3 linked regions of the Arabidopsis thaliana genome follow. The protein of the gene in region 3 interacts with the protein of the main gene of each other region in a biochemical or structural test. Each region holds a gene or a part of one and is shown on either strand. Other genes may lie near its edges.

The links.
Region 1: the proteins of SAUR19 (region 3) and AT5G02760 form a complex in vitro, tested with the Arabidopsis thaliana proteins (one study listed by BioGRID).
Region 2: the proteins of SAUR19 (region 3) and AT1G22290 interact in far-western blotting, tested with the Arabidopsis thaliana proteins (one study listed by BioGRID).

What each region holds. Positions count from the first base shown.
Region 1 is NC_003076.8:623,258-627,768, reverse strand, and holds AT5G02760 (Protein phosphatase 2C family protein), read right to left. Parts: upstream 2,516-4,511; 5' UTR 2,393-2,515; coding exon 2,101-2,392; intron 2,026-2,100; coding exon 1,664-2,025; intron 1,507-1,663; coding exon 1,270-1,506; intron 1,174-1,269; coding exon 952-1,173; 3' UTR 645-951; downstream 1-644. UniProt on the Arabidopsis thaliana protein: Dephosphorylates and represses plasma membrane H(+)-ATPases (PM H(+)-ATPases, e.g. AHA1 and AHA2), thus influencing negatively plant growth and fitness. Promotes the apical hook maintenance of etiolated seedlings.
Region 2 is NC_003070.9:7,876,037-7,879,725, reverse strand, and holds AT1G22290 (14-3-3 family protein), read left to right. Parts: upstream 1-1,763; 5' UTR 1,764-1,810; coding exon 1,811-1,877; intron 1,878-1,954; coding exon 1,955-2,273; intron 2,274-2,352; coding exon 2,353-2,419; intron 2,420-2,526; coding exon 2,527-2,603; intron 2,604-2,699; coding exon 2,700-2,752; coding exon of another isoform or gene 2,753-2,760; intron 2,761-2,828; coding exon 2,829-2,896; 3' UTR 2,897-3,086; downstream 3,087-3,689. Other genes in the region: GRF10 (general regulatory factor 10), read left to right, coding at 1-90, 439-476, 575-580.
Region 3 is NC_003076.8:5,962,184-5,965,308, forward strand, and holds SAUR19 (SAUR-like auxin-responsive protein family), read right to left. Parts: upstream 1,223-3,125; 5' UTR 1,123-1,222; coding exon 850-1,122; 3' UTR 590-849; downstream 1-589. UniProt on the Arabidopsis thaliana protein: Provide a mechanistic link between auxin and plasma membrane H(+)-ATPases (PM H(+)-ATPases, e.g.

The sequences.
Region 1 (4,511 bases), 5.3 Mb from region 3:
AAGTGGCTGGTATTGATGTTTTCCATGTTGCAGGTTCTTGGAGTGGTAAGTATAGTTTGATTAATAACTTTATTTCGTTTTAATATATTGGAATGTGGATGGTCCTTTTAGTATTGCATGTTCGTATCAAGCACAAGCACCAGCAATTGAAAATTTGTACTGCATGCAGCAAATATTTAAGTAAGGGAGACATTTTTTTACTGTTTTGAACTAGTTAGAAATTAGAAGTGTTGATTACTTTTGAGTTGTGCCTATTTTGCTAGTTTTTCTTAGTCTTGGTTACGAAATTTAGCTGGTCTACTGGTGTTCTGTGCTTGATTGCGAATATTGCATGCAAAATGGATCCCATAAACATGTGTCGTTCTTAGGTTACTTAATTTCATATGACCTCTCAAGCCGCTACTTCAGAATTTCTTTGTCATGTAAGACATCATTAGAACTATAGATGTACTTGTTGGTTTCCATATCTCTGGTCTCTATGGCAGTTGAAGGAAAGAGAGCCTCAGATTCTAAATTCTCTGTTCGTGGGACTGCGTTTTTGCTGGCTTCTGATGCTACACAGTTTCTTTGTTTCTGTAATAGATTTTAGATAAACTTTTGTTGATACTTGCTTTCTGTTAATTTTGAATGAAGCGCCAGAAAACTTTTATAAAGGGAATGTAATGTTAAGTTTCAACACATTTCTTGGCTATCTACTGTTTTGTGCCTAAACTCCAATATGTTGCAACGCTTTCGAATTTTACCAGCGTTGACATTGATGATATTGCATGCAAGTACCCTCGTGTATAATTTTGCATACAGGGGTACATGAGAATTCATGTTTTCTTGTGGAGAACATATCAAAGATCTCATAACTTAATATTGTTTCTAGCTATACTACTAGTTCTTTTCTTGACCCTGGCTCCAATTTATTGCCCTTGACACAGGAAGTGTTTTTGCCGTAAGATCTGTTCATGATGTTGAATGCATCGGGTATCCCCCTCTAATTGACAGAGGTGAAGCCCAAGAATTGGTTTTGACCGGGTGGGGGTTGAGATAGACCACAATAACGGTTATATCGTCGTGGAAATGCCTTCTTACACCAGGATGGATCTCTGTTAGGTCTGAGTATCTCATCTCTCTTTTCTTTGCTGCTTCCTTCAATGCAGCTTTAAGTAGTCTCCTTGCTATTCCCTGTGATTGTGAAGGTATTAGTATTAACGAATAGTTCTTGGTGTGCATTGTGCTAGTATGTAACGTATTTGTATATGGGTTAGGCATTGAACTTACTTGTCGAGGGGAATTATGCACAATATCAACAGCTTCCTGGTTGCTAAGATGCTCCCAAAGCCCATCTGAAGCAAGAATTATAAACTCATCTTGTGGGCTAAGCCGCGTAATGGTGACTGATGGATCCGCACTAAGGATTGGCTTAGTGAAATGTTCTGGTAGTCTGAATTTGGGCAGCAAAGGTTCTCTGTTGAACTCTGCTCTTTTGAGGTATGCATCACCTATGGATCTTGTGACCTGGTTAAAGGTCATAACACATTTGCTAGTCAGTTTTACATCCTTACACAAGATAGGCTTCAATATATGATTTTCTTAAGCTTTTGTATTTCATAGAAACTGATGAAGCAAAACTCTGTGCAGGTTATCAGATGCGTTATCATGTATGAATGTTTACCTGGATAACGCCTTTCACACGCCACAAGCGGTGCTTCATCACAAGAATGGTGGGGTCATTAGGATGCAATGACCATAGCTCTTGCCTCGCAGACTCAAGATTGGCATTGTGCTCTACAGATAACTGAACAGCTCTCACTCCACCTCTCTCAGATCTGCCCAACACAGCTCTGGAATCTCCCGTGTTTGCAATATACACCAATCCGTTGCATATCACTCCTGCCAAGCAACATGACCCCACTGATGCCATCTGTGGGTTCGTAGGCCATTGCTTCGTCACTGTCTTGAGAAAATCTTTGTCTGTCTCGGCAAATGCTTTGCTGATCACCTGCTCTGAAATCTCCCTACCCTCGGACGCAAACTCTGTTCATGTGAGACCAGTGTTAGTGTGCCTGGCAGATTCAACAATAAAGGAAATAAAAAAAGTCGGTGTCTTACTCTTTAACTTGGGGAAGATGTTGTCTGCAATGAATCTGGAAGCCTCTGGACCTCCATGGCCATCGTAAACTCCAACAAATGTGCCTTGAACTGTCGGATTGTTGAATGTAAGCGGCCCTGATTCGATCTGGCACTGATCCTCCATCACACTGTTGGCTTGGATCATTGCCATGGAAAACTCTCCAAAGGTGTGAAGACCAAGATCTTTGTACCATGTCAAACCATCAACCTTTGTGGGATTGATCTTACTTCTCTCCATACCGGCACCTATTCTCCAACAGGGTTTAACCATCTTTCTCAGGTATGTAATCTTCGAGCAATATCGTAATATAAACAGAGAAGAACTCTATATAGAATAAATTGATGGAATAATGATAAACTAGTAGTAGCAGTGCTGGTTGTGAATTATGAGATACAAGTTTAAGGAAGGGACCATATATATATAGCCGTGGAAGCCCTAGAGTAAGTGTGAAGGTGTTGGAAAGCAGGGAAAGAGGCCAAAAAGGGTATGGGTCAAAATAACTGAAAAATTAAATGGTTCTGAGAGTTAAGACAAGAGGGCAGTAGTTTAAAGTGGATATTCAGAGATTCTCCTCTTTACTGTTCGATGATGATTCTCTGTCTTAGTAGGGCTGTCATATTCTTTTCTACTCTCTCCTATATTTATAACATCATGTAGTTATTATTGCGTTAAAAGTGTCTCTCCTTTCTTAGAGGTTAATAATCTTGTAAAAACTTAGGAAGCAAGAATGTTCTCATTATATGATTAATGACTTCTTAGAGGTAACAATATCTCATGTAAACGTCTGTTTTCACATTGGTTGTGTGTTAGTGTCTTTATTAACTCATCTTGTAAATGAGTTTTTGGCTTTTGTTTGCAAAGTGGTAATTTGTGGGAAGAAAATGGATAGAAAAGGAAAGGTCATAGGATGCATGTGTGGGCGTGGGTTTTGGGAGCATTGAACTTGGAACCATTTAAAGATTTGAGAGCTGAGAAAGACTGAAGAGAGAGGAGAGAAGACATTTGTGGGGCGACTGAGGAACACTCTTAGCTGTCTTAACCCCTACAGGTCTTTGCCCTTTTCTCAGTCTCTCGTCTTTCTTTTTTTTACCTTTTTCTTTAATGTTATCAAAAGCTGATCTCTTACTTGTTGTGAGATTCAGATCGAAATTCATGTCATGGATAATTATGGGGCTGAAATGAATTTTCAAAGAGGATGGATCTTTTTGGTACTTTTGCTAAGTTCCATTTTGCATGACCCCTCATTGGCCTTCCTCTGTCCCTCCTCGTTTTTTCTGTTCATAAGGATCCACCGATTTGATGCTACTGTAGAGAGAACCACTGTCGTGTGTTGATAGACCAATTTCATCAACGAGATTGTTTAAATTTCTATATGTTATCTAATGCATATGTCGAAGTTAGATCGAGTTTTCGTTTTTCGTCTATCTTTTTGTTGTGCTTCGAAGTTAAGAATTCAACAAGTGGGTTACACAACTTCCACTTCCACTTGTTTTTTTTAATGATAATAATCTCTTGAGACAAAAACATGTTAGGCTCCCTAATTCGATCTTTTAAAACAAGAAAAAACACACACACAATGATTTATAGTGGTTTACTTTAAATATCAAAATTACGTTATCCTTTTGTTTTTGTTTCTTCTAGCTCACGAGTCACAAACAATGAGAAATGATAACAATGATTCAAATAAGGAATACAAGTGGATCCGCAACTTAGGCTCCACAAATATAATAAACGGATTAAAAGATACCAAAAAAAGAATTTTCGTATTGGATGCATATAATTTAGGTTTAACCAATTGTTATATTGATATTGGATTTACTTCTACTTGCTTATTAATTTTGTTGAAAGGTCTTTCATTCATTTCTTATATTTGGTTTCGCATATGACGGTTCCACTAGTTCGATAAGGCCAACCTCATCAATTGGTGTGACTTGACGCATAATTTGGTAAAAAGTTTGATGCAATATATAGATCTAATTGAAGTCAAATCAAAAGAGTAAGAAAATCACGTGTAAGATAGTCTAATACAAATAGAAAGAATGGTCCAGGTACATTTTATCTTAACATATATTCACAAATAACTTTCATAAATATTGAACCATTTTGTGAGAATCACATGTGGCCTTGGAACGTATTGAAGGGTCCTTGAATGCACCATTACAGTACATACAGTGTATTTTCATGTGCTCTCTATCCTTAATTAATTTCCTATCCTTATTACGAAAAAAATTGAACAACTTCAGTCTCGATCGTTTTGATTTAAAAAGATAACAAGAAAGAAGAATAAATAAATATTATAGAATAGAAAACAAAACAAGTTCCTATATCAAAAAAAAAAAGAGTTGTGGTGACAGCTGGGCCATTGATGCACTGTGTTTTGTCTTTTGGT
Region 2 (3,689 bases), on a different chromosome or scaffold from region 3:
ACGAGGAATCATACAAAGACAGCACTCTTATTATGCAGCTACTTAGAGACAATCTCACCTTGTGGACTTCAGACCTTAATGAGGAAGGAGGTATTCTTATTTTCTTTTGTTTCCCTATCTCATGATCAAATGGTTTCCTTAGAATCAAATGAGCTGTTAAGAGCGTTACCTTGGAGTAAAAATGTTGATGTTTGGGAACTCGTAACCATTAACCATCTGTCTATATTTGAATTAAACCGTCCTTTATGCATGTATTGCTATGTAGATCTTTCATTTTAGTTTTGAAAGCCTCAACAAAAAACATACCAATCTACCATCTCATAGTTATTGGATTCTAGCTAATCTTGTAAAAGTTATATGTTTGTAGCAGAAAACATTACTAGTTTCTTGTTTCTCTTCCAAAGCTTTTTCACTCACCTTTTTTTTTTCCCCTCTTAGATGAGAGAACCAAAGGTGCTGATGAGCCTCAAGATGAGGTATGAAAAGCCAGTTTTGTTATAAGTTAAGCTACTTACTGATTTTTCCATTTTGCATTGACAATTAGACCACTCATGGAATTACTGAATCATTGCAGAACTAAATCCTCTGTGAGAAGAGAAACGACTCTTGCTGCATCCTGAATCTTGAAGTGAAGACAGTAAGTGTCGTTGTTTGTTACTCGAATGTGTAATTTTTAATCTATGTCTTTCTTGATGGTGTTTTCCAGATTCTTGAACTTTTCACAACACAACACTGCGTTGCGTATCTTCAACCCTCTTATGATGTGGTTGAATTCTGTTTTACGCTTAGTTTGCTTCTTTTGTTGTTGAATTGAGCCAGCAGGCATGATTTGGGTTTTTGTTTATCAGAATATTAGGCGTATCATGGTCTCAAAATTAAAAACCAAAACAGACAAAGCTTTATTCGAAGTTTGTAATAACTAATAACTCCTTGCAAAAATCATGAAAGTCTGAATTCAAGAGGCTCTTAATAATTTGCATAAGTGATCCCAAACTTCACAACTTTTCAATTTGTGGATGTTTGCCCTCTTTGTGGCCAAGGAATCATCCTCAAGTGTGTTTCTCTACGGTGGTTTGGTCCGTAAGTGTGTGACATAATAATGGTTTGGTTCTCCCAACATGACCCTCAAAAAGGATCTCTATGCTCTAAATATGGGACTCTTGTAAGTTGTAATTGTAACCAAATGCTATCACAAACTCTCTAACTCGTACCAACACTCATTGTGTCTAATCCAATCGAGAGCCCTCAAAGTCTAAAACATGTTAATCAAACTGTGAACCAGTTAATCCTTATAGAATCAGATATCTTTTTGTCAACCATCTAAATAACATTTTTGTCACGAATTGACCACTTCCCTCGAGAGATTTTGTAGTGTTTTCTTTAATATTTTTATATGTCCAATGAATAATAATTTCATACATCTATCGAAAACTTCAATTTTGAGCTACAAATGATCAATTCAAGTATTCACTTGGCCCAACTTCTAAATTCTTTAGGTGAGTTGTTGCTAGCACAACAAATGCTACAACTGTCAAAAGCAAAGAGACAACACCTTCAAATATTAGGTTTGACTAATAAACAGAGGATCATGGTGACGATCTTTGCCAACTCTCACCAAATCAACCTGAAACCTTCAAAACAGATTTGATGCTATTGGATCCAGCGCCAATAGGACACTTGTCATTAGCTCATTTACTTTTCTATTCTTTAAAATGATGAGTGAAATCGAAAAGTCTTGAGCAAGAAATACAGATTACAGTTTCTTCTTCTCCAAGCATCTATTGTTTAAGAGAGAAAAAGAAGAAAAGCCATGGAGAATGAACAATCAACGCACGTTCACTTCGCGAGTCTCTCTTCGTCAAGCGAGCGCTACAATGGTACTTTTTTTCCAGAACAACTTCTTGAATCTTAACATGCCTTCACATTACTCAATACTCCAAATGTTTTGTTGCAGAAACATTTGAAGAGATAAAGAAAGCGATGAAGAAAAGTGTTCAGCTTAAAGCGGAGCTATCAGCAAAGGAGAGAAATCTTGTATCAGTGGGGTACAAGAATGTGATTAGCGCAAGGAGAGCTTCATTGGAAATACTATCATCCATTGTGCAAAAGGAAGAGTCAAAAGGAAATGAGGAAAATGTCAAGAAGCTTAAGAATTATCGAAACAAGGTTGAAGATGAGCTTGCCAAAATTTGTAATGACATCCTGTCCGTCATCAATAAGCAACTCATTCCATCGTCTACCACTGTGGACTCCTCTGTTCTTTTCTACAATATGTGAGCGAAAATGTGTTGTTGTGGTGCTTGAGGCGCAAAAGTGTTGCACTGTTTTGGCTATACTTTATGTTCTTTCCAGGCTGGCAGACTTCAGTTCTAATGCTGAAAGCAAGGAAGCTACTGATCAGTCTCTTGATGCATATAAGGTCCTTGGCTCATGTTTGTTTTTGTGCCTTGAGCTCGGAACAAAATAAACTGAACAATATGTTTTGTGTTTTGGTAATGGCAATGTTGGTTGTTGTTACTGCTGCAGAGACTGGTTTGGTACCAACAGTTCCAGCTATACATGACTTTGAATTGGACTTCTGTTTTCTTAAACTCTCCTGAAAGGTTCCTTTGCTTACATGCATACATATGATTATTTAATGAAATCGGTGTGGTGTTACTTACTAACAGTCTGAATCAGTGAAACTGTGTGTTGTACAGTGCATACCAATTGGCAAAGCAAGCGTTCGATGATGCAATTAATGAATTTGACAGTAAGTGATGAATCAAACAAGGACATGACTCTTATTATACAGCTACTCAGAGACAATCTCAACATGTGGACTTTAGACCTCACAGAAAGAGAGGAGGTAATCTTTTTATTTCCCTATCTGCCTCCTCTGATGATAGATAGATAGTTTCCTTTGGAATCAATATAAGCCATTTTTGTGAAATTTTGTTAGTTCTTGTACTGTTATGAGGAGCCTAAACTTTGATTCGAATGTTAATGCTTGGGAACATATTTACGGCTTTGTGGATCTTTCATTGCTTAAACGCCAAGTTGTTGAATTCAAGCAAATTTTGTTGCAAGAAACCAATTAGCATACTAGTTTCTTGTTCTCTTCCAAATCATACACTCAACTTTTTTTTTGTTTCCTCTTATCCAAAAGTGGTGATGAGCCCCAAGAAAAAGGTATGAAAAAGCCAGTTATGTCAAAATTTAAGCTACTTGAAGATTATATTTTTCATTTTGGCATTGCTAATGGAGTTACTATACCATTGCAGAACTGAATCTTGAATCCTATGCGAGAAAAGAAACGACTCTTGATGCATATCCTGAGTCAAGATGGGTTGGAATCTGTTTTACACTTAACTTGCTTCTCCTGTGTTGAAATTTCAGAATATAAGACACCATTTGGGGTTTTGTTTGTCGGAGTATACCTAAAGAATCATTGCTTGTCACCGACGTTTCTTCATTCTTTCTTTTTATAGCCAAATGAATACTATAATCCCATTGGAGCACTGAGGAAGAAAACTCGAGAATTGCTTGGTACATCTTCCTCTATAGCAGTTGCAAACAGTTCCACAAATAAAACACAATGAAAGTTTTTCAACGCCTAAGCTAAGTCTTTCAATAATGAAACCCTTTTCAGTGATAAATTTCTGCAACTATTTGCAACATCTCAATCTCTGAAAGACTTTGCTTAGAAT
Region 3 (3,125 bases):
GAAACATGCATATATGTATATTCAGCGTAACAGATACGTATCAATAAATCATTGAAGAAAGGGATCGGATCCAGTCCACATCAACCCTAACTAGTGCGTGTCTCTATAGTTTTCCTTTTTGGGCAATGTATACTTGTCTTTATTATTTGGAAGGAGAAAGCAATGTTATTTATAGAATAAAATACAAACAGAAGTTTGGAATTCAAAAGTAAATTTCTTTTCCTTTTTGCTTGACAATATCTTGAAAACTATAATCAAATGTCACTGGAGACATCAACTAAATGTAACCCCCACACTATACGTAAGAGCCAGCCACTGATAAATTGTGTAAGTTAAAAGTGGTCATTTGTTATTTGTTTCCGTCTAATTCAGAGTAGCAAACAAATACTAAAACCGGATCTGAAATTCTCGGTTAGAGTAACAAGAATCCCGAACCGGGGGTAGTGCATCAAAAGGCAAAAATTGGAAATAAGCAGGTAAAACAAAAAGATATCCGGAATAAAGTTCGGGGGATTGAACCCGACGTGAATCGAACACGCAACCTTCTGATCTGGAGTCAGACGCGCTACCATTGCGCCACGGATCCGGATGTTAGATGTTCCACTTAATTGTTTTTAATCAACATGAAACTATAATTAGAGTAGTTTTTTGATTGATGAATTTGGTGTCGTCTTTCTTTTTCAATGAGCGATCAAAAATGTATTGACATGAAGTTTGTATATAACATTAATTTTGTATTTCACTTTCTACACTTTTAGAACAACTCTTTCAAGAAGAAAGAGAAAAAAGCTCATGTATTTACAATGAATAAGTCTATTTCTAACTGAAGGAAAAAATGTTGGATCATCTTCATTGGAGCCGAGAAGTCACATTGATGAAAGTATCTTCGGGACAAGGGATCGTTAAGCCACCCATCGGATGAGCAAACCCAAACTCTTCTTCGGATTTACTGAGCAGAGCTTGAAATGACGGTTGGCTCAAGTATGAGAGCGGCACCAAATATCTCTTCTTCTGGCTCTCTCCTACGTACACCGCAAGAAACCCTTTTGGTGCCGCAGATCCTGCTGCGGTGGAGCGGCTTAGAATCTTCTTTGCTCCCAATAGACTTCTCACGAAAGCCATTTTTATTTTATTTTAAATAAAAGAAGTTTGAATTATTATGAAGCTCTTGAAGATGTATGAAAAGATTCAAGTTATTGGAATGCTTGTTGTTGGTTGATGATAGAAATAATGGGGTTATGGGTGTATATATAGAAATATCAATGAACGATTTGAAACTTCTCTGAAAAAGTCATTGAAACTGTGGTCTTGAAGCGTGGGACAGACTAGAGCAAGAGTTCACATGGTTCTGTCTTTACCATCTGGAAAAGATGCATTAATGAAATTTATCTACTTAAATAATCTCCATGTGAAATTTCACAAGGGCTTGCTTTCTCAATGTTTCTGAGATAAGACGTGCCCTATATTTGCAAGAACAAAGACAGCAGGTTCTGTGATGATTAGGTGGTTGGTTCTTTGTCCTATAGTACTCTAATCTCTGCAGTCGAAATGGATTTATTAAGAAGTTAAAGTGGGGACCTGAATGTTATTCAACAACAGAACAACAATTCAATGTCACTCTCTAGTTGTTCTTTGATTATATCCACACATGAAAACTAAAAGAGACTGAATACCTCACTTCTTCTCTTCATTTATTATACAGACATGGAGAAGACAGACCCTTGTGAAGTGATGATAATGCTCATTAGCTTCCGTTGTCAACTTGTCATCTATCATACCTAAAAAACAGAACCATGTGAAACTATCTTTGTGTATGTCTCACCCCTACTTTGAATGGTTTCAGGGTGATTTGAAGTCTTTTATCAATCTATTTATACATCCAGAGACAGAACCAACTCTTCACCAAGTAGTGAAGCAATCCAGACCTCAAAATTTTGAGCATCTAACTTTTTCTCAGAAGCTTCAAATTTAGATTTTCCAGACTCAAGAAATGGCTTTGTTCAGAGGCCTCTTGAGTTCAAAGAAGATTATCGGCTTTTCTGTAGAGGCTACAAGCAAAAGGACAGTTTCAACACCTATTTTATGTAAAACTATTATTTTATGAAAATCTATATTTGGAATATAACCAAAAATGTATATCAATATGATCCTGCATAGTAAAGACACTCACTTAATAACCAATTTTTTTTCACTTTCTCACATCTTAGAATTGATGTTTTGAGAGTTTCGTATACTACAAGAAACCCTTTTTAGCACTCCCTGAGCGAATTTAAAAGCCTCTCGGAAATCTTCTGAAACTTGTGGATGTAAGAGTGGACACATAAGAAGAGAGTTTAGATGGTTTTGTCGTCCAGATGCTAACGTGATAAATGAATGTGGATACAAAAGACGAGCAACGATAAGCTAAACTAGACTTCATGAGGGTTTGAGTTCGCTACATTTGCTTGTGGTTCTTGGTTGTGATTTCTCTGGTTGCTTTTGTCGTACGTCCTGATCTTAATATTTGAAGAAGGAGACGTGGCTCACTTGACAAATGCTAGGAACAGACCAGTCTCGGGTTTTACGGATCTTATGCAATAGTCTGCATGCAGTATCCAGTATCCACATTAATTGTTCTATAACATGTTATGATAGTAAAACCATAGGAATGATCACAAATCATGACAAGAAAAGCCTAAGGAAATCAAAGAAGCTTAATATCGCATAAGTGATTAATAGCATTGAGCCATTAATGATCTTACAACAACAAGAGTCTCTCAATGTTATTTGGGAAAACATCGAGATCATTGAGAGAATCGAGTCTGAGCCCTTTAAGTCGTCTATATAGGTCATTTGCAATTCCTTTAATTTTGGTTACTCTAATACTCTTTCTCTTTGGATCAAAATACACCACATGGAAGGATTCATACACACTCATTGGCGTATAAACAAACTCACCAGCATCAGTAACACCCTTCAAAATTAAACACGCCCATTCTTTGTCAGACAGAGGAAAATTCAAAGACATAAAGAGACATATTTCAACACCAACGGCCATGGAACAAGGCCACCTACACCATCATCTTCACAACCTTGAGCTTCTCCAAAACATTTCTCATTGGATCTCATGATAAAAAGCCAGAGAA